Linked DNA regions of Pelodiscus sinensis. The protein of the gene in region 1 interacts with the protein of each later gene in a pairwise test. Links are inferred from orthologs where the notes say so. Each region holds a gene or a part of one and is shown on either strand. Other genes may lie near its edges. The genes, in order: MCM10, CEP72 and TRIM37.

Region 1 (7,695 bases):
AGCGGCTGACTCCAGGAAGCCCGGGGCAGGGGCTTCCTGTAGTCAGCCACTGGTCAGTTTCAGCAGCGGCTGACTTGGGGACGCCTGGGGCAGAGCAGCTGGGGTGCTGCTGGGTTGGTCCAGTAGCGCCGCCGCTCCTCGGCGCTACTGGACCAACCCAGCAGCACCCCAGCTGCTCTGCCCCAGGCATCCTGATTCAGCCGCTGCTGAAACTGACCAGCAGTGGCTGAATCAGGACGCCTGGGGCAGAGCAGCTGGGGTGCTGCCGGGTTGGTCCAGTAGCGCCCAGAGCGGCGCTACGGGACCAACCGGCAGCACCCCAGCTGCTGCACCACAGGCATCTGGAGCAAAGCCGTGGAGCACGGGGGCAGCGGGACAGCCCAGACGCGCCGTGGCTGTCCTGCTGCCCTCGGGCTCCGTGGCTTTGCTCTGCTTTGCTCCCCGTCCCCCTGGTCTGCGGACCAGGGGGACAGGGAGCAAAGCGGCGGAACACGCGAGCAGCGGACAGCCCAGACAGCGGACAGCGTGCTCCGCGGGCAGCGGACAGCCCTGTCCGCTGCCCGCGTGTTCCGCCGCTTTGCTTCCTCTCCCTGGTCTGCTGGAGACCAGGGAGAGGGAGGGCCCCGTTCGTAACTGCGGATCCGACATAAGTCGAATCCACGTAACTCGGGGACTGCCTGTACTAAAATCAAGTAACCCAGATTAGTTGTATATGACTTGGGGTTTGTGTGCATGCATGTACGAATAGAGAGGTATGATTTTGTAGTGTTTCAGTGTAGACACTGCCTATGCCTGCCAATGTAGCTACTCCATCTGCCTCTGAGAGGGGTGGATGGAAAAATTCTTCCGTTGACTTGGTGTTGTCTACAGTAGGGTTTAGATTGGTATATGTACACCTTTCAAGGGTGTGGATTTCTCACATCCCTGAAAGATGTAGCTAAACTAATGTCTAACAAAACATGTAGATATCATGCGCTTTTGTGGGCGCAACCTACTTCTCATTATACCACCTACATGTTTTGTTAGTCTTTAAGGTCCTACTAGACTATTTGTTTAAGTTTTTCCTGTTAGGGTGTGTCTACACTACACCGTTCTGCCGACGGAGGGATGTAGATTAGGCACTTCGAAAGTGCAAATGAGCCCAAGATTTACGTTGGGGTGCTGTGCCAATCACGAGCCCTTTCGAAAGTGAAAGTGAAGTCTAGCCACAGCTCTGCCGATAGCAGGGAGCTTTTTCGGCAGAGCCTGTACTCATTTTTTGAGGGTGCCAATACACAATTACTATTACTAATGCACAAAAAGGGGAATTTTTTTTTGTAGCACAGGTAAGGGAATTTGAAACACTTGAAATTAGAACTTGCAAAACTCAAATGAATTAAGTAGAATTTAAAAGAAGTCAAACATTTATATGGATACAAACTATCCAGAGCTCTAACAGTTAATGCAAACGAGAGTTTTGGAAGGGGTGCCCCCCTCATGTGTCAGGTCTTGAACACAATAGACTGTTAAATGTTAGGGCACAGCATGAGACTTGCAATGGGGTAGATTACCAAACATCTGGAGACAGCAACATTCTTGTACATTTCTCTGAAACACTTGGTGGCATTGTCCCAGAGAGCATACTAGACTCAATAGACCTGGGGCTAGCATGGCAATTAGGTTTTCACAGAATTACTATGCTAAGGTCCACCCAGGCACACAGCAAGGCACAGGGAGCTGAAGACATAACATTTGAAACATCATCCCCTGTAGCAGGGGTGAGGGTCCAGTGGGTGCAACAGGAGACTGGGTGCAGCATGGGGGGGATCCGCGGTTACAGGGCAGGGTGATGATGGAGAATTCAGGGATGAGTGGGTTTCATTTCTGACCCTCTTCCCAATCTCTTTGAATTACTTGTGAGATGCTTCACAGTGGTGACTGCCTCATGAGCATTCAGACAGACCCGCCTCCCGGATCTATCCCGGACTCCCCTCCCAGCACCTTCCCTTCCCTGAACACCTCCAGAGCCCCCCTCGCACCCCAACCCCACATGCCCCAGCTCAGAACCTGTCCCCCACTGGGCTCCCATCTCCTCCCTCCCCCAGGGATCCCCAAACCCGCCTCCCACCCAGGGAATCCACAACGCTGTTCTCTTCCCTTCCTGGAGCCCTTCTCCCCCCCCCATCCTTCCACCAGGGACCTGCCCTACATCCCCTAGCGGCACGCACCTCGCGTCCCATGGGCTGCGCCCCTCAGAGATCCCCTCCTAAGAACCCACAAGCTTGATCTCTCCTCCCCGGGCCCCCCCCCCGATCTCTCCTCCCTGGGGTCCCCCCCGGATTCCCACCCCCCCCGGTTTCTCCTCCCCGGGCCCCCCCCCCGATCTCTCCTCCCTGGGGTCCCCCCCGGATTCCCACCCCCCCCGGTTTCTCCTCCCCGGGGTCCCCCCCCGAGCTCTCCTCCCCAGGGTCCCCCACGGATCCCCACCCCACCGGTTTCTCCTCCCCGGGGTCCCCCACGGATCCCCACCTCCTTCGATTTCTCCTCCCTGGGGGTCCCCCCCGGATTCCCCCCCCCGGATTCCCACCCCCCCCCGATCTCTCCTCCCCGGGGTCCCCCCCGGATTCCCACCTCCCCGGTTTCTCCTTGCTGGGGTCCCCCCCGGATTCCCACCCCCCCAGTTTCTCCTCGCCGGGGTCCCCCCGGTTTCTCCTCCCCGGGGTCCCCCCCGGATCCCCACCTCCCCCGATCGCCTGCTCCGGGCGGCCTCCGACCCCCGCACTCACCGCGCCTAGCTCCACTCCTCTGAGGCACTTCGGGTCACCCGCCAAAATTCTAATTAGGCCCCGCCTTTCCGACTCCACGCAGGCGCGGCTGCCGCCTCCCGGAGAGACGCGGGAGTGCTGCGCATGCGTACAGCGTCTCTGGTCCGCCGAACGGCTCGCCGCGTGATCGGCGCCATCTTTAATAGGGGCAGCTGGGCCCTAAAGAGAGTAGCGTTGTGAAGCCAGCGGCGCCATCTTGCTTCGGGGCACGCACGCATCCGGCTCGGCGGCGGCTGCCTGTTACTCCTCGTCCTCCTGCCGGAGAGCCGGGACGCAACCTCCCAGGGCAAAGACCGCTGGCAGTTGGCCGAGCGCTATGATGATGTGATGTCACAGAAAGCAGGGTGATGACATCACACCATCGCTTACGTCACTAACTGCAGTAGTGGCGCTACGTAAAAGGGACAGGGCTGCTCTCTTGTCACTCACACCCTACCCTGGGGCACCCCACGTGGGTGTCAGGCCCGTTCCCTGGGGCTTTCTGCAGCATCACAGTGTTACATCCCAAGGGACAGCTGCATGACACCCCCCCCCCCAGGCGAACCAACCTCTGGGCCCTGATAAATCGCTGGGCACCTCAGGAGGATGCCCCACTTCCCAGGCAGCTGTACGGCACCTGGCCCGAACCACTGCCCTACCTCCAAACAGGCCACCATTCCCCAACTCTGTGCAGTTTTTTAAACTCAACTCAGCTACCTGCCAGCCTTCAGCAGTTTGCTCGGCTTCAGACTGTAATTTCAAGGGGGATAATTACATTCTGCCTATGTAAAGTAGCACCTAGGGATTGTAGAGTATCAGAGGGGTAGCCGTGTTAGTCTGAATCTGCAAAAGCGACGAGGAGTCCTGTGGCACCTTATAGACTAACTGAAGTGTAGGAGCATAAGCTTTCGTGGGCAAAGACCCACTTCGTCAGATGCCACCCACTTCGGCATCTGACGAAGTGGGTCTTTGCCCACGAAAGCTTATACTCCTACACTTCAGTTAGTCTATAAGGTGCCACAGGACTCCTCGTCGCTTCTAGGGATTGTAGTAATTTAAATTAATGAGGGGGGGGGTAAGAGAGAGGGGGAGAGAAGAGACTTTTCCCCAGTTTGCTTGCAGTTTTCTTTTTCTAATTTGCTTGCATTGTGCATTTGCCAGTTTTTGTGTGTGCAGTCGGTTACAACATTTCCCATGTTTAGTCAGGCATGAGCCTGCACAGCCACATAAGAGTAGTGCTATTGAATGTGCGTAGGGTTGGAGGCCTTATTCAATTTCTCCCTTGTACAAAACACCCTTATAAATGTAATGCAGAGGTGCTCCAGAACAGAGAAGGGCACAGTCTGGACTCAGATCCTAAATATCTTAATCCACTTGGAAATTAGTCAACACAAATCTAGTGGTCACTTGTTTTGTCGGCTTCTTGTTTTGTAAAGGAAAATTACTTATTAAAGGCTGTACAATATCAGTAACAGGTTATACAAATTGTACTGAATATTAGAAAATGGAATAACCAGTGGGATCAAGAGAAATTTTTTCAAGTTCCACCAGATGGCAGAAATAACTTGCTAGTCTAAAATGTCAATTTAAGCTCTGTAGAGAGCTGCATTGTTGAGCACAGGTGGGACCCAGAGGTGTAGCGAGGTTGTTATGTGCCCGGGGGCAAAGGAAAATTTTGCGCTCTCCCCCCCCCCCCGCTGCTGCCACCATGTGGCACAGCCCCGAACCTGGTGCACAGCTGAGGGGAACTTGTACGTCATCTTCCCGCACCCCCTACAGTTTGAGGCCGGGCTCCCACATGCACTAACCTGCCAGTGGAGATGGAGCAGGGTCAGGCTTGGAGCAGCGAGGCAGGGAGGAGGTTCTAGCTGCCGGTAGCAGGTGGAGTAGGAGCATGTGAGCTGAAGGGATAGTGGGGGGAGCAGAATGGGATTAAATTGGAGCCTCCCTAGCATTGTGCCCAGGGGCAACTGACCCCTCTGACCCCCTTGCTACATCACTGGCCCCCCCTCCTGCAGAACTATCATCTTATGCATGTGCAAGATCTGTGAGAGTCATCCCGTGAATCTGCAGTTAGTGTCTGTGGCGCCTGCTTCTGGGTGGTGTCTCAATGCTGCCACATTCATCTCCAAAGAGGGGGCTTCCCAAAGCAGGCCCTTGCTGCTGACCCCCAAGGCATCCACAGGTCCAGTCTCCTTTCAATGGGCCCACTTCCCAGGGCTCATTGATCTTGGATCTGGCTTCCATTCCCTCTCCAACCTTTGCAACTGCCCAGAGGTGTCACCTTCCACCTTATACATTCCCACCTCATTCACCCCACAGGGACAGTGTCTGCCTCACTTGTCCTAGGGACTATTCTACCAAGACGTAATACAAAGTTTCCATGTAAAAGGACTCAATACAAAGCTAAAAACTTCAATGAGAATGATTAATACAGAGAGGTGTCTACATCTGCTGCAGGGAGACTCCTCTGCCTGCCTCCACCCCTCTCCCCCCCAGAGTCTACAGCCCCATTGCAAAGTGGGGGAGGGAAAGAAAAGAGGTTGAGGCCCATCCAATGGGACTGAAGCAGTCATGAGCAAGCCATGCCAGGGAGCCATTCCCCTGTCCATTGCTGGTATTGTGTTGCTTCAGGCATGCTGAAATGCAGTCACCTCTAGGGTGGGCTGGACAGCTGATTAACACCTGCACAAGGTTTCAGGCAAGGAACATTGTGGGCTGCCTTCCTGCAGAGCCCCTATCCGAACTACTGAGCCTTCCTGGCTTAGGAAAAAATAAACAGGAGGACTGGAAATTAACCCCCCCAGTCTTACATCCCCTAGGCAGGGAATGAGCCATCTACATTAGGCCCCAGCTGGAGTATCATGCCTAGTTCTGGGCGCCACGTTTCAGGAAACGTGGAGAAACTGGAGAAAGTCCAGAGACGATCAACACAAATGATGAAAGGTCTAGAGAACATGAGATATGAGGCAAGGCTGAAGGAATTGGCCTTGTTTACCTTGGAAAAGAGAAGACCGAAAAGGGACATGAGAGCAGCTTTCAAGTATCTAAAAGAGTATCATAAGGAGGAGGAAGAAAAATTGTTCTCCTTGGCCTCTGAGGTTAGGATGAGAAGCAATGGGCTTAAATTGCAGCAAGGGAGGTTTAGGCTGGACATTAGGAAAAACTTCCTGCCTGTCAGGGTGGTTAAACACTGGAATAAATTGCCAGGGAGATTGCGGAATCTCCATCACTGGAGATATTTAAGACCAGGTTAGACAGACACCTGTCAGGGATGAGCTAGGGCAACTCAACTTTGGAAGCTCTAGGGGCCACACTGATACTTACAGAACATGCTGAGGGCCTCAACTTAAGTGTGGTTGCATATGCAAGCAAGTATATACAAATAGCTTCTCTCACACAAGACAGGCATGAATACAAAGATTAAGGCAAAACTATACAACACACAGGCCCCATTTAAGTCAGTTCTTCTGATATTAATAAAATGCAACATTTACCCAATTTCTACCCACGTGAAAGCACTTTTCATGAGCAATGACAGTCCAAGAAATTAACTACTAAAACACATATCAACAGAAGATCATTACACTGACTACTTTTTTGTTTTAGCTCCCACTTGCCGGCCACGTGTTGATCTCCACATAAACCCAAACTGCACCGCGGGACGCAAACAAACTGGCCGTGGGCAGCATATCAAGTTATTAATAAATATTTTAAAACCTTTACCTTTTCTCTCTGCTGCCATGTCTCCTCTCTTCGCTCCATCATCTCCTCTGGTGCCTGCTGGCCTCCAACTCCTCACCCTCCTCTGCTGTCCTGACTCCTGCCCTTCTCACTGCCCTCAGCCCTCCTGCGACCTGCCCCCCTCCACCAGCCCTTCTCTCCCTCCTGTGCCCACTCCTCCAGTAGCCCCACTCTGATCAGATAAGCTACCCCTCCTCATCCCCTCTTCTAACACCTCCCTCTACACACCTGCCCTGCCTCTCTCCTCTGATGCTGGTCCCTCCTCTGCAGGTGTCTGCCCTTCTGCTTCACCCCCAGAATCCCCTGGCACCTGCACATTCCCTTAGCCCTGAACCCTCCTGGTGCCTCCCCCTTCCCTCACTGCTCCTGCCCCCTTTTTCCCCTGATACCCACCCCCTCACCACCCTCTGCCCCCATTCTCCTCATGCCCGTGTGCCCTCACACGACTTGCTCCATCCCCACCCCTCCTTTCAAGCCTTCTCCCAGCACCTCCCCCTCTCCCCTCTAGACCCTAATGCCCTTACCCTCTCGCAGCATCACCCTGTCCCCCTTCCACTTACACCTCCCCTCCTGCCCTTTTCCTCATTGTCTGCACTTGGCCCCCTGCAATTTGTATCTTCCCTCTCCCCTCCCCCTCCGCACAAGCCCCTTCCTCTCCCACCCCTTCCCTGCCCTGCTGTACCTTCTGCCTTCCACTTTGTGGGGCCAGACTCTGTGCTCGGGCCCCAAAAGTCCTTGGACTCTGAACTGGAAGCTAGGCTGTGCGGCCCCACATGGCACCACACACTTTTAAAGTCCCGGGCCGTGACATCACATCACGCCCGGGCGTCTCCCCGGTCACCTGGAAATGCTGTACATGGCGGCAGCAGCAGTCGGCAGCGTGCGCAGGCAAGGGGGAGCCGACTGAATGCTGCGCACGGCAGGGACGGTCCGGGGCTGGGGGGAAAGACGGCCAATAACTCGCCGCCCATGCACCCAGCATGCGCTCGTTCTCATCCTGGCCGGCAGCCCCCTAGCGTGATACCCGGGGGCAATTGCCCCTTCGCTACGCCTCTGGTGGGACCTCCCTGGTCTGACACCATCAGGATCTGAGCGGTCCTAAACCACAGTGGTTGCCGGATCAGGGGAGGTCAAGGCTCCCCTCCCAGCTGTTGGCCCTGCACCCTAC
Region 2 (7,613 bases), on another chromosome or scaffold:
ATGAAGTCGAAATATTTCTGATAGTGATGAAATGTGATTGTAATAGAGATTGATCTTTTCTAAAAATATCAAATGCTGAATACCCTGTTAATGTATAGAAAACAAAAATCATATTAGTTTGTAATATAAACTTAGTTTTTGTTGAATGAAATACACTAGGTCACTGGTATAAATCAAAGCCAGACAAGTAGTGACTTAGCACTTTTTTCTATCTGCCTGTAGTAGTTTGGTGGTCTATATGAAAAGGGATGTTGGTCTAAAAAAAAAAAAAAAAAAACCTCATTCTAATGACACTGAAAACACTTTTTAAATTAAAACTTTTGCTGAGCAAGATGAGCAATTATTGAATTTAAAATACTAATTGAGCACCTCAAATACTGACACAAATCTGAGTTCTTCAAGCTATCATATGCTACAGATATGAATTTTCTTCATTAGTGTATTTTACATATTAGCAGCAGAAAGTGGTTTCATTAAACTAGCTATGATGTGCTAGCTATGCTCATACCTCAGACTTCTGTAGAGTTAAGCATATTGTTGCTGTTCTTCACAAAAAAGGGTTGAGAGAAGCAATTGCACTTATACTCTCATCCTGCAAAGTTTTAAGCACGTGCTTAATTCTAACCACAGGGAGTCCCAGGGGCATTGGATGAACTCATGTATTGAATTAAATATGAGCGTAAGTCTTTTTAAGATCAGAGCCACAACAGAAAAAGGTGATGGATTGACAGTACTTAATCTATTATCCTGCTTCAACTACAAAGGAGTATAATACAGGTTTGGTAATTAGTGTTTCACTATACCAAACCGCTGAAGTATCTTTGAGAAAGGCAATGTGTTATATTTTCATACATTAGTTCAGACTCTGTGCTATCTTTTGCTGAGACTTTTATCAAGGGTACCAATTATAATCTGGACTCCCACCCATCTGGAATTAGACAAACGATTTTATGATTTTATACACAGTGCTTTTGAACAACCAACAGAAAATAATTTTTGACCACTAGCCCAAACAAGGGATGTGAAGGACTAGTTGACTATCCAATAAGCAAACGTTTATCAGATAGTCAACTAGTCGCTTCCCCCGCCCCTTGCTGCCTCTATAACAGAGGCAACAAGGGGGGGAAGAAGAGTAGGGTACTTCAAAGTGGCAGCACCGCATGGAGCCTGAGGTCAGCTGGGGACTCCCCAGCTGACCCCAGGCTCCACGCGGCGCTGCAGCATTTCAAAGTGGCAGCGCCACAGGCACTTTCACCTGGGGCAGTTGCTATACTTCAGTGCTGGAGGCACCCTATCAACTAATCAAATAGCTGATGCAAAAATGCATCAACTATTCGATTAGTCAATTACCTGATACTTAACATTCTTAGCCCAAACTAGATCAAAATTGTCATGTGGAAATAAAACATTCTATATGCTGTTACCAATGTTCCAAAGTAATGCAGAAACATTTACCTTATTAAAAAAAAAAGTTACAAGTGGGACCTCTCTGGTCCAGGAGCTCTTTGGTCCAGTAATATCCGCAGTTCTTCTGGACCATGGATGTTGCTGGACCAGAGTCCCAGAAAAGAAAGGTTCAACCTGTACCAGGTTTGCAAAGAACAAAATCCTCCCCCAATGTTGTTCCAATCTCCATAAAACCCTCAATACAACTCCTCCAATTCTCTTGTCCTTTCTCCACGACTTCAAGAGCCAACCTATTCTTGTTACATTTGTCTTAAAAAATAATTTTAAAAAATTAAGATAAACATACCTCCAAGCTAACCAATGCATTGCGAGAGAGATCTAAGGATTTTAGGCGAGTGAAATTTTTCAGAGAATGTCCTAAATGAGTAATCTTTTCATGATAAGTTCCAGGAAGAGACAATGATCGGACATCAGCTACAATGAGAAAATTTAAAACCTGAATATATTTATCATAAGAAAAATGAAATTACTAAAATTATTAAAATAAATTTCAAATCTACCTGATTATTGATGTGACAGACAATGCAGGATGAAGCTGTTCAATTTTTATGATTTTTAGCGTTGTGTGTGCCCGTGAATTAGAAATATTTATCATTGACAAGTGGAACTAAAAACAGTAGGGACTGGCTTCCTTATGCCTATTAGGGAAAATGTTAAACTTCTTGGGGGTATGCTGCTTGGTAGAAGTGCAAAGGGGACCTAAAGCAGATAATACACTTCCATCTGTATTGCTTCCCACCAGGCAGTCTGCAAGGTAACTGAGCCAGGAAGACAGAGGACAAGCCCACAAAGAGCATTCTGTTTCTATTCTCAACTCTAGTGACAGTCACAAGTGGCCAAAGAGGGGTGCCCCTATAAATTGTTTCTTGCAATCAGATCCCATCTATAGCCACTTGTGTACAGAGTATACCCACAGGCAGTAACTCCAAACTCCAGCACTCTCTGGGCCAGCAACATCCCTGATCCGGCAGAACCTTGGATGCTCCTGGACCACAGAACCCGGGAGCCCGAGGGCAGCCACAACAGAGATCGGGCCCTCCCATTGGTCAGAGGTGCTCGGGGCGTGACCACGACACAAGCCCCGCCTATTTGTTTTCTGCCCCGCCGCGATCCGCCGGATTAACGGTTTTAACCGCCAGGGCGAGGCGGAGAGGCGTGTGGGCGGGGCTGACGTCTCCGGGCGCCTGCTACCGCGAGCAGCAGCGCCCGCGGAAGGGGAGTTGCTTACCCAGGTTCTGGTGCCGCAGATTGACTCTCTCCCGAATGGCCTCCTCCGTGACCGCCGCCATCGCGTTCAAACACTGCGCATGCGCGCTGAGATACTGCTGCAGCTCCCCGCCGGAAGCGCCAATAGATACCGCGAGGGGGCGGGGCTTGCGGAGGGGGCGGGGGCTCCGGGCGGCGCCCTCTGCCCGCTCTGAGGCCGGGCGGGAAGCGGCCCCGCAGTCAGTTCGTTGCGGGGCGCAGCCTGTGGCGCGCGGCCGTGCTGCGGATGCCGCGTGGTTGTGCGCCTGCGCGGAGGTGCATTGCGATCGTCGTGCAGCAGCAGCAGCGCCCTCGGCCAGAGCCTTAGCAGGGCCTCCCCTCCACCGAGCTGCTGGCTCTCTGGGCATGGACTGAACTATTCTGTTAGTGGGGGCCGCGGAGCCTGCCCAGTAGCAGCATTGCCCGGCCACGCTATAGAGAAGCTCCACCGCCTTCGTAATGTGCAGCTGGACTGTGCGGATTCGCTGGGACATGGTCTTGGTGTCAGGGATACGCCTTTTGCTAGCCCTGTCAAAATCAATTGAGTTGTCTGAGGCGCAGTCTGCATTTGCACGTTACTGCACAGGAAAATCAGCCCTTGTCACGCTTACTTTCAAGGTGTTTACAATGGTAAGGCAGCTGCTTTTGCAGAAAAACTTGCCAGCTGTCTAAACTTCCCTTCTTGAATTTCCGCAAGAACACTGATGATCTCATGTAAGAAATCAGTGCTTTTTGCGAAAATACTAGGGTGCGCCCGTTCTGGCAAAAGTCCCTTTTGCGCAAAAGGGCCAGTGTAAACAGCTGAGATTTGTTTTGCGCAAAAAAGCCCCGATCGCGAAAATGACGATGGAGGCTTTTTTGCGGAAAAGTGCGCCTAGATTGGCCATGGCTGCTTTTCCGCAAAAAGTGCTCTTCCGGAAAAGCGTCCGTGCCAATCTAGACGCAAAACTTTTCCGTTAAAAGCATTTCCGGAAAATCATGCCAGTCTAGACGTAGCCACCATGTATGGTCCTGGATTGAACCTGCAGTCTCCCAGAAGACTCTTGTTTGCTTCCCTGCTCACCCTAAGCAGCGAAATGTCTTCCATGATTAATACAGCCTTTGGAAATTGAGTGACTATTACTAACAATTAGGCCCCCACACAGTGGTGTTTCCAAGTCACACCTGCCCAGAGTACAGTAGGGTCCTGCACCAATGAAAACCCCTGTTCCTCAGCACCAAGAAATTTCCTGCCCCCATGCATCAAGGAATTCCCTTGCCCTAGAGATGAACTCACCATTGTATGATTCTGTATCTTATGTATGCTCACTCCAGGATAGTGAGTCAATGCTAGGAATGTGAACAATGGAATGTCAATAATGGACCCTCTGTAAGTGTTGCAGATTTGTCTTGACAGAGCTGAACTTTGGCATGCTAGTCTGAACTGATATCACCTGTGGAAAGGCTTCACAAAGCAAGAAAATGGCCCCAAAAGACTTGAGAGGAGTTTTTGCATGACATCCTGAGTCTCACTGCTGCTGAGAGAATTGAAGGAGTGGAGGGACAGTGAGAGGAGGGAGCAGAAAGAAAGCACAGAGTAGCTCTTAACCTAAACATTATGGAGTAGTAAGTGGAAACACTCTAGGTGCAATTTAGCATTTCAGACAGAGCAGCTGTGCAAATGCCTCCCCCACCCCCTGCAGCCGGTGTCCCAAAACTGTTTTCCATACACGTTCCATCACTGCCAACACAATTTGGCCACCACCACCACACTCCACATCTACTCCCTCAATCTCCATCCATGCAGACTCCCACAGGCCCCTCCCTGATGCACTCAACACCCATCCCCATGAGGTTTAGCTCTGATGAACTGCAGGCCCTCTTGCACAGCAAGGCTGCATATGAAACCTAGACATAGAAAAATACATGAGACTCTGTGCTCCTTTCATAGCCCTGGTCTCAGGCTGTTCAAACTCAGCTTCCAGACGCTGAGCTTCAGCAGTCCAGGCCTGAGTGAAGCTTTCACCCCTCCTTTCGCAAATATTATGGAGGGTACAGCGCATGCCAATAGTCATAGAGATGTTGTCATTGTCCAGGTCCAGCTTCCTGTACAATCAACAGCAGCAGGCTTTCAAACACCCAAAAGCATACTCCACAGTCAGCCTGCTATTGAACTGCTCTTTACTGTTGTCAAGGCTCCTTGAGTATGGCTTTATGAGCTATGACACTAAGGGGTAGGCAGGGTTTCCAAGAATCACAATGGTCATTTCCACTTCCCTCACAGTGATCTTCTTGTCTGAGAAGAAAGTCCCCACTTGCTGCTTTCTGAATAGGCCAGTATTCCAAAAGATGCATGCATTATGCATCTTTCTGGGCCAGCCTGCACGAATGTCTGTGAAATGCCCACAGCGATCCACAGGTGCCTGCAGAGCCATGGAGAAATGCCCCTTGCTGTTAATGTACTTGGAGGCTTGCTGGTCTGGTGCCAGAATTGGAATATGTGTGCCATCTATTGCCCCATCACAGTTCAGGAAGCCATCCAAGCAGAGCCATCCACAATTTCATGTACATTGCCTAGAGTCACAGTCTTGCAGAGTAGGATGAGACTGATGGCCCTGCACACTTTCATTAACATGCGTCCAACAATCAACTTTCCCACTTCAAACTGATTGGCAACTGAGCAAAAGATGTCGGGAATACCCAGCTTCCACAGTGTGATCACCGCGTGCTTCTCCAGCAGCACGGCAACTCTCATTCACGTGTCCTTGTGTTGGAGGAAAGCTCAGCACACAATCCTATGAAAGTGGTTTTCCTCGTCCGAAAATTCTGCAGCTATCATTCCAGGCTTGCATGACAATGTGATCCCAACACTCGATGCTTGTTTCCTGAGCCCAAAGGTTGTGTTCCACTGTGCTCAGCACCTCTCTGAATGCCTCCTCATTGTCACTTTGCAACTTCAGGAATAACTTGGCAGAGCTCCCAGCCACTAGCCTCCCTGCCACCAAGCTCCTGGCTGGCAGGGCTTCCAGCTCCAGGATTCTCTGGTCCAAGAACATCTGTGGACCAGAGGGCATGTCTACACTACACGGAATATCGACACTGCCATGGCCAATATTCTGGGATTTGAATTAGTAGGTCTAGTGAAGACATACTAAATCGAACTCAGAGGGCACTCCTGTCAGCACTGATACTCCTGCTTCCTGCAAGGATTAAGGGAAGCTGATAAGAGTATTTGCTCCCATTGACCTCCCACTCTGTGGACAGTTATTTAAGATATGTTGACTCCAATTAACGTAGCTTGAGTTGTGTATCTTAGGTCGACCTTCTGCTCCAGTGTAAACTAGGCCAGAGAATCCTGGTTTAGGTAGTTGCAACCTGTAGTAGCAAAATGAGAAATTCTCCCAAAATAAACATCTAAAACATCTCGGCTGCGTCTAGACTGGCATGATTTTGCGGAAATACTTTTAACGGAAAAGTTTTTCTGTTAAAAGTATTTCCGCAAAAGAGCGTCTAGACATGCTTTTGCGCAAGAAAGCTCCGATGGCCATTTTAGCCATTGGGCTTTCTTGCGCAAAAAATTAAGGTGCCTGTCTACTACATTCAAGCGGCCAGTGTAGATTGCTGGCAAGCTTTTGCGCAAAATCTTGCCAGTCTAGACACACCCCTCTAGTATATTTGGAATGGCTAAAAGAATTGTCAGAATACAACTTGGATGGAGAAAAAAACTTATCATCAACAAAATGAGAAAAAATATACTAAAATTCAGTGTCATATGGATGCATTGATGTAATTGTGCAAAGTATACCTCGTGCATAATGTATTTCTAAACAAAATTAAGATTTTGCAATGAGTCTTTTATTAAATAATAAAGGAAAAGAAAACAGAAGCTAAAAGCAGAAAACAATAATCCTATCTGTTTGCTTTCTTCTGACCATACTAATGTCCTTAAATACAATGGGTTTCATTCTCCATTGGCTTACACTCTACCCTCTACATTTCTTTAATTTTAATGAGATAGTGTCAGGTGTGTATCAGAGCAGAATTTTTCCCTCTGTCTTCCTGCCTTTTGATCTGCTCTTACATTTTTTAACAATCTTGTTCACTAGCCTTTGTAAATGATTTTCCAAAAACATTTGTTCTGTTGACACTAGAAAAAGATAAGCTATCTAAGAAGTAATTAGCCATGGAATATTGCTTATGAGAGACCTATTTTAACTTTGGACTGCATTGATTTTGAACTGGATCAATATGATTCTGACTCAGCATATTTTTCTGATATATGAATTCAGCACAGACGAATGCTTATAAATCTTACTTTGTTTAATACCTCAAGTGAAGTTCAATATTAATAAATTTGAATTTGAGATAGATGAGATTTTGAAATTTTCAAAGTTGCTGCTTGATCACATTTTTTATTTCATTGTAAAAGAAAATCTGTATGTGACCATCTTGAAATGGCTAGCCTTTGCATCAGCACTCCCCTCCATCTCTTTCTAAGCAATGGTGGAAAGTGAAGTTAGACTACTGAAAATGGATTGCCACAACAGCTCTTTTATTCTTTTAGGGTACGTCTAGACTACAGGCTTCCATCGACAGAAGTTTTGTCGACAAAACTTCTGTCGACAAAGAGCATCCAGACTACTTCTGTCGACAAAGAGTATCCTGACCGCGGGACGGTCTGTCGACTGAAGAAGACACCCAGAAGTGCTTCTGGAAGGTCACAGAGGTAGCCTTAAAGCCCAGGCACTGCAGCATGCTCTCTGCAGAGACGCATGCTTAAAGTGATCCTCCTGGACAGCCGGTGCTCTGCTCCTGCTTCTGGCTTGCCTACCTCCTCGAGGGAAAGCAAAGCTGCTGCAGTTTTTTTGGCTCTGGTTGCCCTGCTTTCTCGGACACCACAGCAGTTTATTTTCTGGTTTGTT
Region 3 (8,047 bases), on another chromosome or scaffold:
GAGGTTAGGAACAAGCACACTGAGGAGTCTGAATCTCTTCTTTATTTGGCTTGGCCCTTGGATCTTAGATAGTGAATAGGTGATCAGTAAGACAAAGGCTTTCTCCTCCAGGTGTAACTTTATAAGGATGGGTCAGAAGATAGACAATTTGCATTCTCTTCCTTCCAGTTTTCTCCAAAGAAACCTACTTGGCTGTCTACATATACACTTTGTTTTAGATAGCCCTTTGAAGCTGATAGCACTTTCCAGGGTTTACATTAATCACTTAATCAGGTTTCCTCCCTCAAGGTGCTGCATATGATTTCACAATAACATATATATTTGTAATGCAGTGAATTCCTAAAACGCTGACACTTAATTCAATAAAGGTAGTATAGAATATTGCGAGAAATTGCCCCATCTATCACAGCATACCTTCTGAGTCTCTCCATAACTGATTTCTGTAAGTCAATGGCCTGACTTAGTCACCATTCCAGAACATCTTTTTAAAAAAAGAAAAAATGATAGAACTAGATAAAGGCTGCTTCCATGGGACTGCAGCTCTACATAATATCAGTTCAGTCATGCAAACTACATCTCTCTTGGACAACAACTACTGATTCTAGCACTTCAAGCTGCTGTTTTGCAGTGATATGTAGGTGTTGGCTCCATAACTATGGACAAGGAAATGACTTCCTTAAGATTCTATTAACTTTTTTGTTTTTCCTTAAGGTTTTATTTTTAAAGAAAGAGGACCGAGGACAACTTGGCTGCGTCTAGACTGGCCGCTTGAATTTCCGCAAGAACACTGAATTACTGAATTCAAGAACTGAGGAAATACTGTGCTGCTCCCTTTTGGGCAAAAGTCCTTTTGCACAAAGCTTTTTATTTTGATATACACTAGAGGATTTACCTGGCATTTCTCCAGTCCTTGTGGGGGAACAAGGCGGATGTGGGTGAAGGAGTCAGGTCTGGGGGCAATTATTGGAGTGCATATGATAGTAAGAACTGTGCTGCTCTGGCACCTATGGCCAGGCCTGGCCCATGTCTACACTGGGGGGAACAGAGGGAGTCAGTCACTCTGGCTAGCAGCCCCAGCCAGTGTCTCTGGGAGCAGGGAGGGGACCTTGCTGGTTAGCCAGCAGTTACTTGGTGGGGAGCCAAGGATAGGCTGCCAGGCCCTGGTGGTGCTCCTGGGGGGACCTGGGCGTGAGGGCTACTGGCTGGCAGAGCCCCCATCTAACATGAGGGGATGAGAGGCTTGAGGTGGTGGGGGGACACTTACTCGGGGCCAGTGAATGACAACATGGAGAGCCCAGGCTTCAGCTGGCCACTGTCTTCCTGGTGCAGCTGCCCCACTGCGGTCACTGCACCCCATGCTTGCTGCCTGCAGTGATCATTGCAAAGTACAACTGTCCCTGCTCTCTGTCCCTTCCATTTCTGTGTTATGGAAAACAATCCCATTCCAGGCATCTCTCATTTTCCTGGCACAACCAAACCCTGACCTTGCTATAAGATAAGAGGGAGCTGCATACTAAATTTGGTGGCCCTAGCTCTTACTGTTTAGGAGGAATTCTTGAACAAACAGACACGGACGGACTCACTGACAGGCACACTAACTCTCTAAAATTATAAAATAATGGTTCTGTTCCAGTATCAGGCTGCTTTGCTTTTCCCTTTTTCTGGATTGATAATTATTAAATTGCTTCTGCCACTTGGGTGAACTGATACGAGTGCAGGTGGGCAACAACTGCATCTGAAATGGTGCTGACTGTGATTTTAAAGGCAAATATTGCCAAAGATAAACCATCGACCAGGCCATTCTAGAAATTGGTTAAACTGAGTTGTCCTTACAACTAAATTATTTAGTAGGGATTTGTTTGCCCTGTTGCTGAAATACACTGTCAGCAACAGGTTACTTTGCTAACTTAGGCAAAGCTAAAGACAACCAAGTATACAATGCATAGCATTAGAAGGATTAAGGTTTAACAGCTGCTTCCTGCAGTTGCAGAAAATCAGTAGGACTGGCCAGTTTTTCCGGAAAATCAGCCACTTTTCCGAAAAAACTTGCCAGCTGTCTACACTGTCCGCTTGAATTTCCGCAAAAGCACTGACTTCCTACTGTAAGAAATCAGTGCTTTTTGCGGAAATATTATGCTGCTCCCATTCGGGCAAAAGTCCCTTTTGTGCAAAACTTTTGCGCAAAAGGGCCAGTGTAGACAGCTGAGATTTGTTTTGCGCAAAAAAGCCCCGATCGCGAAAATGGCGATCGGGGCTTTTTTGCGCAAAAGCACGTCTAGATTGGCCACGGACGCTTTTCCGCAAAAAGTGCTTTTGCGGAAAAGCGTCCATGCCGATTTAGATGCTCTTTTCCGAAAATGCTTTTAACGGAAAACTTTTCCGTTAAAAGCATTTCTGGAAAATCATGCCAGTCTAGACATAGCCCAGGATTGCTGGCATAAAGCACAGGTAGTAATGGTCTAAGACCTAAGATCAGAGCTATACTTTGAAGAAATAGATGTGTGGATCTGCAACAGCTATAGGGAACTATTTAAACTTCTTTAGGAGTTGATGATGTCATCAACTGTAGCAGGGGCTACAGAGAACACTGAGCTGTGTAGCTGGCAGGTATGTGACAAGTGGTTTACAAGTATTTACTAATAATGCCAATCTGACTGATTAAAATAACGTTGAGCCTTCGTCTCCCTTCCCCCCACCAAAAAAAAACCCCAGGAAACTGACATACCCATTAAGTTCTTTTTATTTAACCCCTGTGGGTATGTATAGCTTTTAAAGCTTTTCTTTGGAATCCCAAGGCCTAGAAATTTAATTTTAAAAAATCAAACAAAAAAAGCTGATTATTGCCTAATCACACAATTTCAAAATTTCAGACTTTACAAAAAACAGCAATATTGTAAGATTTGGCAATATTGACACTTTAAGCTAGTTGGAGTAGGGCGCGCTGCCCCTTTGAAACACCACTGCAGTGTTTCAAAGTGGCAGCGCTGTGTGAAGCCCAGAGTCAGCTGGGGAGTCCCCTGCTGATCCTGGGCTCCAAGCCACTTTGAAATGCATAAGAGCTCCTGATCAGGACTCTTGTACACTTCAAAGCTGGCATGTCACAGGGAGCCAGGGGTCAGCTGGGGAGACCCCCCTGCTAATCCCAGGCTCCAAGCAGTGCTGCTGCTTTGAAATACTACGCGGAGTCCCCAGCTGATCCTGGGCTCTGTGCAGCTTGCCAGCTTTGAAATGTACAAGAGTCCCCAGTGGGGGCTCTTGTGCATTTCAAAGAGGAAGTGCAGCATGGAGCCTGGGGCCAGTGCAGGACTCTGAGTCCTCCATGTGGGTGCTTTGAAATGCACAAGAGCCCCCACCTGGGCTCTTGTGCATTTCAAAGTGGAAGCACCTGCAAGGAGCCTGGAGTCAGCTGGACTCCTGCTGGCCCTGGGCTCCAGATGGTGTTCCAACTTTGAAATGCACCCGAGCCCCCACTGGGGCTCTTGCACATTTCAAAGGCAGAACGTCGATGTGCCTATGGGTAGTAAAGGGAAATTCTATTGACTACTCGACTAATAAATTAATTGCTTGTTAATATTAAGTTGGAGCGGAGATGGTTGTTTTTTATGGGCTGGATTTTTCAAAAGAGCTATGCACTCTTAACTCAGAGAAATCAGTGAGAACTGTTTGTGCTCCATATTTCAAAAAAATGGTGCCCTTTAATCTGTATGGGGGAATTCTCTTTAGGATAGATGATGGCTAAAGTAATGTTTAATAGATTTGCGGGCCGGATGTGTTTTTAAAATGGTTATTTTAATCACAGACATATAGAATTGAAACACAGGAAAATTGTAGCCTATTATTGCTACCCTTTTCTGCTTATTAGGGTGGCTCTTTAAACAAAAAAAATCTGTTTACAGTAGGCATGTGAATGGTTAACTGGTAAGCATCACTCTTATGAAACACCACTACCGTTTCAAAGTGGCAGCACTGTGAGAAGCCCAGAATCAGCAAGATAAGCAAGTAATGCTTATCCGTTATGGTTAAGGAGCTGGATCAACCTCTTCCTTTACCCCAGTCAACTCAGAGAGATTAGTCTTCAGCCTCACCCCTTCCGCCCCAGACCCACCCCTTCTGGGCGTGTGGCTGGTCCACAACCAGGTTCCAAAATTCATTCAATGACATCCTTCCCCGAACCACGAGGCAGGACACAATAGCCCCAAGGTGAGCAGCCTGCCTCAGCTAGCCGTGGTGCTTGTCTGACCTGACTTGCAAGAAGATCTCTAACTTTGCATTGGTTTTTCTATCCCTCTCCCCCCCCCCCTTGATTTGTGCTGTAGGGACTCACTCAAGCCTTTCTGTTCCACAGTCTTAAAATCCCTTTTTGCGCTGACTAAATCAGCCACGCCAGGGCTCATGCTACTGCTTGGGAAGCAGGCCAGTGTCCTCTTCCCAGCTCCAGTGAGATTAGAGGCTGGGGCGGAAGATGGTGCATGTTGCTGCCTGCAGAAGATGGGGGAGGGGAGCTCAGGCATACGAACCGGCCTGCAAAACTGGGACACGGTTACCCTGTTTCACCTAACGCTGCAGCAATGCAGGGAGAGGCGGCTGCACGTTCTGCTGCTGCAACCCGCTGCAGTGGGGGCGGGGAGGGGCCAGGCATAGGCAACTGATGCTACTGGGGGAGGGACCCCACTGAGCAGTTACATTTTTGGCGGGGATCTAGCGAGGCGGCTCGCGCCCCGAGTGCTACCACGCGTCCCTACCGGGGCCAGGTTTCCCGCGATGATTTTAGGCTCACCAGGGAGGCAGCAAATCTGGCGGGGCCAGGACCCAGCCCTGGCACAAATGAAGCGGGGGCCGTGCCCTAGGCTGACTCTGCAGCCCTGGGGGAAAGTGGTGCGGGGGGGGGGGTGAGGCGCTGTAGCCTCTGGAGATGCTGCATCTTGCAGCAGGAGGTCGCACCCTCTGCAGATGCTGGAGAAGGGCGGGAGGTGGGGGAGGGGCGGTACCCTTTGCAGATGCTCCCCCTCGAGGCGGCGCCTGCGCGCTGCGGCCAGGCGGGTCGCGTGACGGAGGGGGCGGGGCCGGGCCGGCTCTCCTCAGCCGCAAGGCGGGAGCGCGAGCGGAGGGCGGAGCCGCCGGCGCCCCTGTCTCCCCGGGCGAACATGGCCGGTAGCTAGTGGGGCCGGGGCGCTGCGGAGGGAGCCGGGCCGCTGCGGAGGGAGCCTCTCCCGCCCGCGGCTCCTCACGCTCTCCCCACCCCCCCCTTCTCTCCCGCAGGGGCCGCGTCCGGGACCTGCTCCCCGGGGCGCTGGGGAGCCGCCCCGCTGAGGGCGGGCGCCGGGCGAGCCGAGGCCATGGACGAGCAGAGCGTGGAGGTGAGGGGGCGGGGAGGGGCAGCGTCCACCTGCCGGGGCGGGCCCGGCTCGGCTCCCCTCACGGGCGGGAGCCTGCCTCAGGACGCCTGGGTTCCGCCCCGGCTCGGCTCCCCTCACGGGCGGGAGCCTGCCTCAGGACGCCTGGGTTCCGCCCCGGCTCGTTGCGGGAGCATCGCTCTGCTGCTAGGCACGTCTCTAAAACAAACCGCAGGCGGCCGCCAATGCTCCCTCTCGTTAGTGTTTTTCCCCCCCGCCCCGGGACGGAATAAATTTTATGGTGTGCGCGGAGGCACGCGCGGGTGTGCACCACCCGGCGGAACGCACGCTGCCGGCGGTGGGAGCTCTGGGCAGCACCTGAATCTCTCCTGGGGGCCCGCCCAAGCGCTCCGCTGATAGGGTAACCGGGCGGCCACCTGTGCTGGCTGCACATCCTTGGCCACCAGCTAGAGTGGCCTGTGGGTCTTCACATGGGGGAAGGGAGGTGGTGTTTGGGCTGTCAGCCTCCGACAGAGCCCGGGGGGTGGGAATAACAAACTAGAACCTGATCTCTACGAGAAACCTAAGTTGACCTCGCTGTGGTGCTGGGGGTGTGGGAATTGCCCAAATTTTTCACACCGCTAGGAGGCGAACTGAGGTTGATCTAAGACAAATCAATGGCTGGGTGCCACCAGGTTGTGCAGAGAGACTGATGTTCGATGTATTAATATGTGGCCTGGTAAAGGGAGTAGTATGCAGTGGTGAGGCAAAAATGCAGGTCACACAAGTATTTAGATTAGTCCGGGTTCTTCAAAAAATCTTCTCAAACTCCAGAGACATACAAGGAAGCTAGGAATGGAAAACGTGGTGGCTGATGAACTTCAGTTTTTACAGGGGAAAGGTAGAACGCACGTTGGAAGGAGTAATTGGAACCCATCGTACATTGTGCTGCAGTATAGTTGTAACCACACAAGAAAATAGTCCAGACATCATCGTGGATGGTGTTAATGAAAAAACATAAGCTCAGTGTGCAGTGATAGGAAATAAACAATTCTGTCGTGTAGGAAATACAGAAAATGCTACAGGTTGCCCCTCTGAAAACTGGCACACGCTGGTCCAGCAACATGCCGGACTTCGGATGCTCCTGGACCAGAGAACCCAGCAGGATAATGTCAAGAGGGCCAGCTGGATCTGGGGGCAGCAGGAGCCCCACAGCAGTGCTGGGGCCAGGGATTGAAGGGGTGGGGATCAGGATGGGGCTGGGGAACCCCAGGTGCCTGCAGCAGCACAGCCAGAAGCTGTAGAGCCTGGCTGTTCACAGCAGTGGAGCCAAAGAACCCTAACAACCTGTGGCAGGCAGCAGAGGATCAGGGGGCCAGAGAAGCCCAGCCACCTGCAGCAGCGTGGGGCTGGGGATATCTGACCGCATACAGCAGCATGGGCCAGACAACCCCAGCCACCTGTGTCGGGGCGGCTGGCTCAGGCCTGTGGCAGGGGATGCCTCCCTGATCCGGCAAATTCCTGACGGTGCAAGATCAGGGAGGTCCAACCTGTATAATGCCACTTTTATAAAGAAATAAAAGGTTGTCCTCATCTGAAATACTGTATTCAGCTATGGTCACTCTTTCTCAAAAATTATAGCAACAGCAAGAGGTCAGAGATACAAAATAAGTGGTTTTGAAGTCAGGATGCGAATGATTAACTGGTTAACCGGTTAACTGGTGGGGCCTAGAGCAGCACCCCCTGTAGGGTGTCGCAGGTAGGGGCAGCTCCTGTGGGCCTGGGCACCCTGCAGGCAGGGGCTGCTCCAGCCCAGCTGCGGACAGCGGGGTGGGGGTACTCTAGCTGGGCTGAAATGGCCCTCCTGCTCACCTTCCCTTTAACCAGCTAACCCATTAGTGAATTAAACAGGATTTTACATCTCTATTTTGAAGTATGGAAAGATTTATGTAAGAGAGCAAGATGAGTGAGACTGTTTAATATAGATAGGAGTTAAAAAGGGTTTATATATATTGGGAAATTGACCATCATATCTATAGCAGATTAACTATTCAGCTATAGTTACTCTGCGCTAAGTGATTTTTGAGTTCTTACATGGATTTTTTTTAACAATTTGTCCACATCTTTTTTAAATTGTGGTGTCCAGAATTGGACACAGTACTCCAGCTAGGGCCTCAGCAATGGTGAGAAGAATGAGACCATTAACTTTCATGTTTTTACATACAACACTTCTGTTGTTAAACCCCAGAATCATACTAGTCTTGTTTGCAGCTGCATCACATTGGCAATTCATATTCAGTTTCATGTTGATACATTGGAGATGGTTCTGTGAAGAGCCCCAACAGTGTTAAAGGATTGGAAAGCATGCCTAACAGTGAGTGATAGACTTAAGGAGCTTGAACTTTCTAATTTAAAAAAGAGAAGGTTAAAGAGTGAGATCAGTTTGTAAGTACCTACATGGGGAAAAATTATTTGACAATACTATTAAGTTCAGCAGGCTATTATACCAAGATCCAATGACAGCAAGTAGTTAGACAACTTCAGACAAGAAATGAGGTGTACATTTTTAACAGTGAGCTAATTAATTAGGATAATTGGATGTTTCTTTAAAAAATGTGCTCTAGTTGAAATATAACTCCACAATAATTCCAATGGCCTGCGTTAGCAGGAGGTCAGATTAAATGATCACATTGGCTCTCCTGGCTTTAGAATTT

The links.
Region 2: the proteins of MCM10 (region 1) and CEP72 interact in a two-hybrid assay, tested with the Homo sapiens proteins (2 studies listed by BioGRID and IntAct). The two-hybrid records come from large-scale screens. The link is inferred for Pelodiscus sinensis from reciprocal best matches to the Homo sapiens genes MCM10 and CEP72.
Region 3: the proteins of MCM10 (region 1) and TRIM37 interact in a two-hybrid assay, tested with the Homo sapiens proteins (2 studies listed by BioGRID and IntAct). The link is inferred for Pelodiscus sinensis from reciprocal best matches to the Homo sapiens genes MCM10 and TRIM37.

Annotation. Positions count from the first base shown.
Region 1 is NC_134711.1:13,735,102-13,742,796, reverse strand, and holds the start of MCM10 (protein MCM10 homolog), read right to left. Parts: upstream 3,091-7,695; 5' UTR 2,766-3,090; intron 1-2,765. UniProt on the Homo sapiens protein: Acts as a replication initiation factor that brings together the MCM2-7 helicase and the DNA polymerase alpha/primase complex in order to initiate DNA replication. Additionally, plays a role in preventing DNA damage during replication.
Region 2 is NC_134712.1:145,501,726-145,509,338, reverse strand, and holds the start of CEP72 (centrosomal protein of 72 kDa), read right to left. Parts: upstream 3,006-7,613; 5' UTR 2,757-3,005; coding exon 2,696-2,756; intron 1,882-2,695; coding exon 1,754-1,881; intron 85-1,753; coding exon 1-84. UniProt on the Homo sapiens protein: Involved in the recruitment of key centrosomal proteins to the centrosome.
Region 3 is NC_134731.1:5,328,350-5,336,396, reverse strand, and holds the start of TRIM37 (E3 ubiquitin-protein ligase TRIM37), read left to right. Parts: upstream 1-4,984; 5' UTR 4,985-4,997; coding exon 4,998-5,151; exon of another isoform or gene 5,152-5,259; coding exon 5,260-5,357; intron 5,358-8,047. UniProt on the Homo sapiens protein: E3 ubiquitin-protein ligase required to prevent centriole reduplication. Probably acts by ubiquitinating positive regulators of centriole reduplication.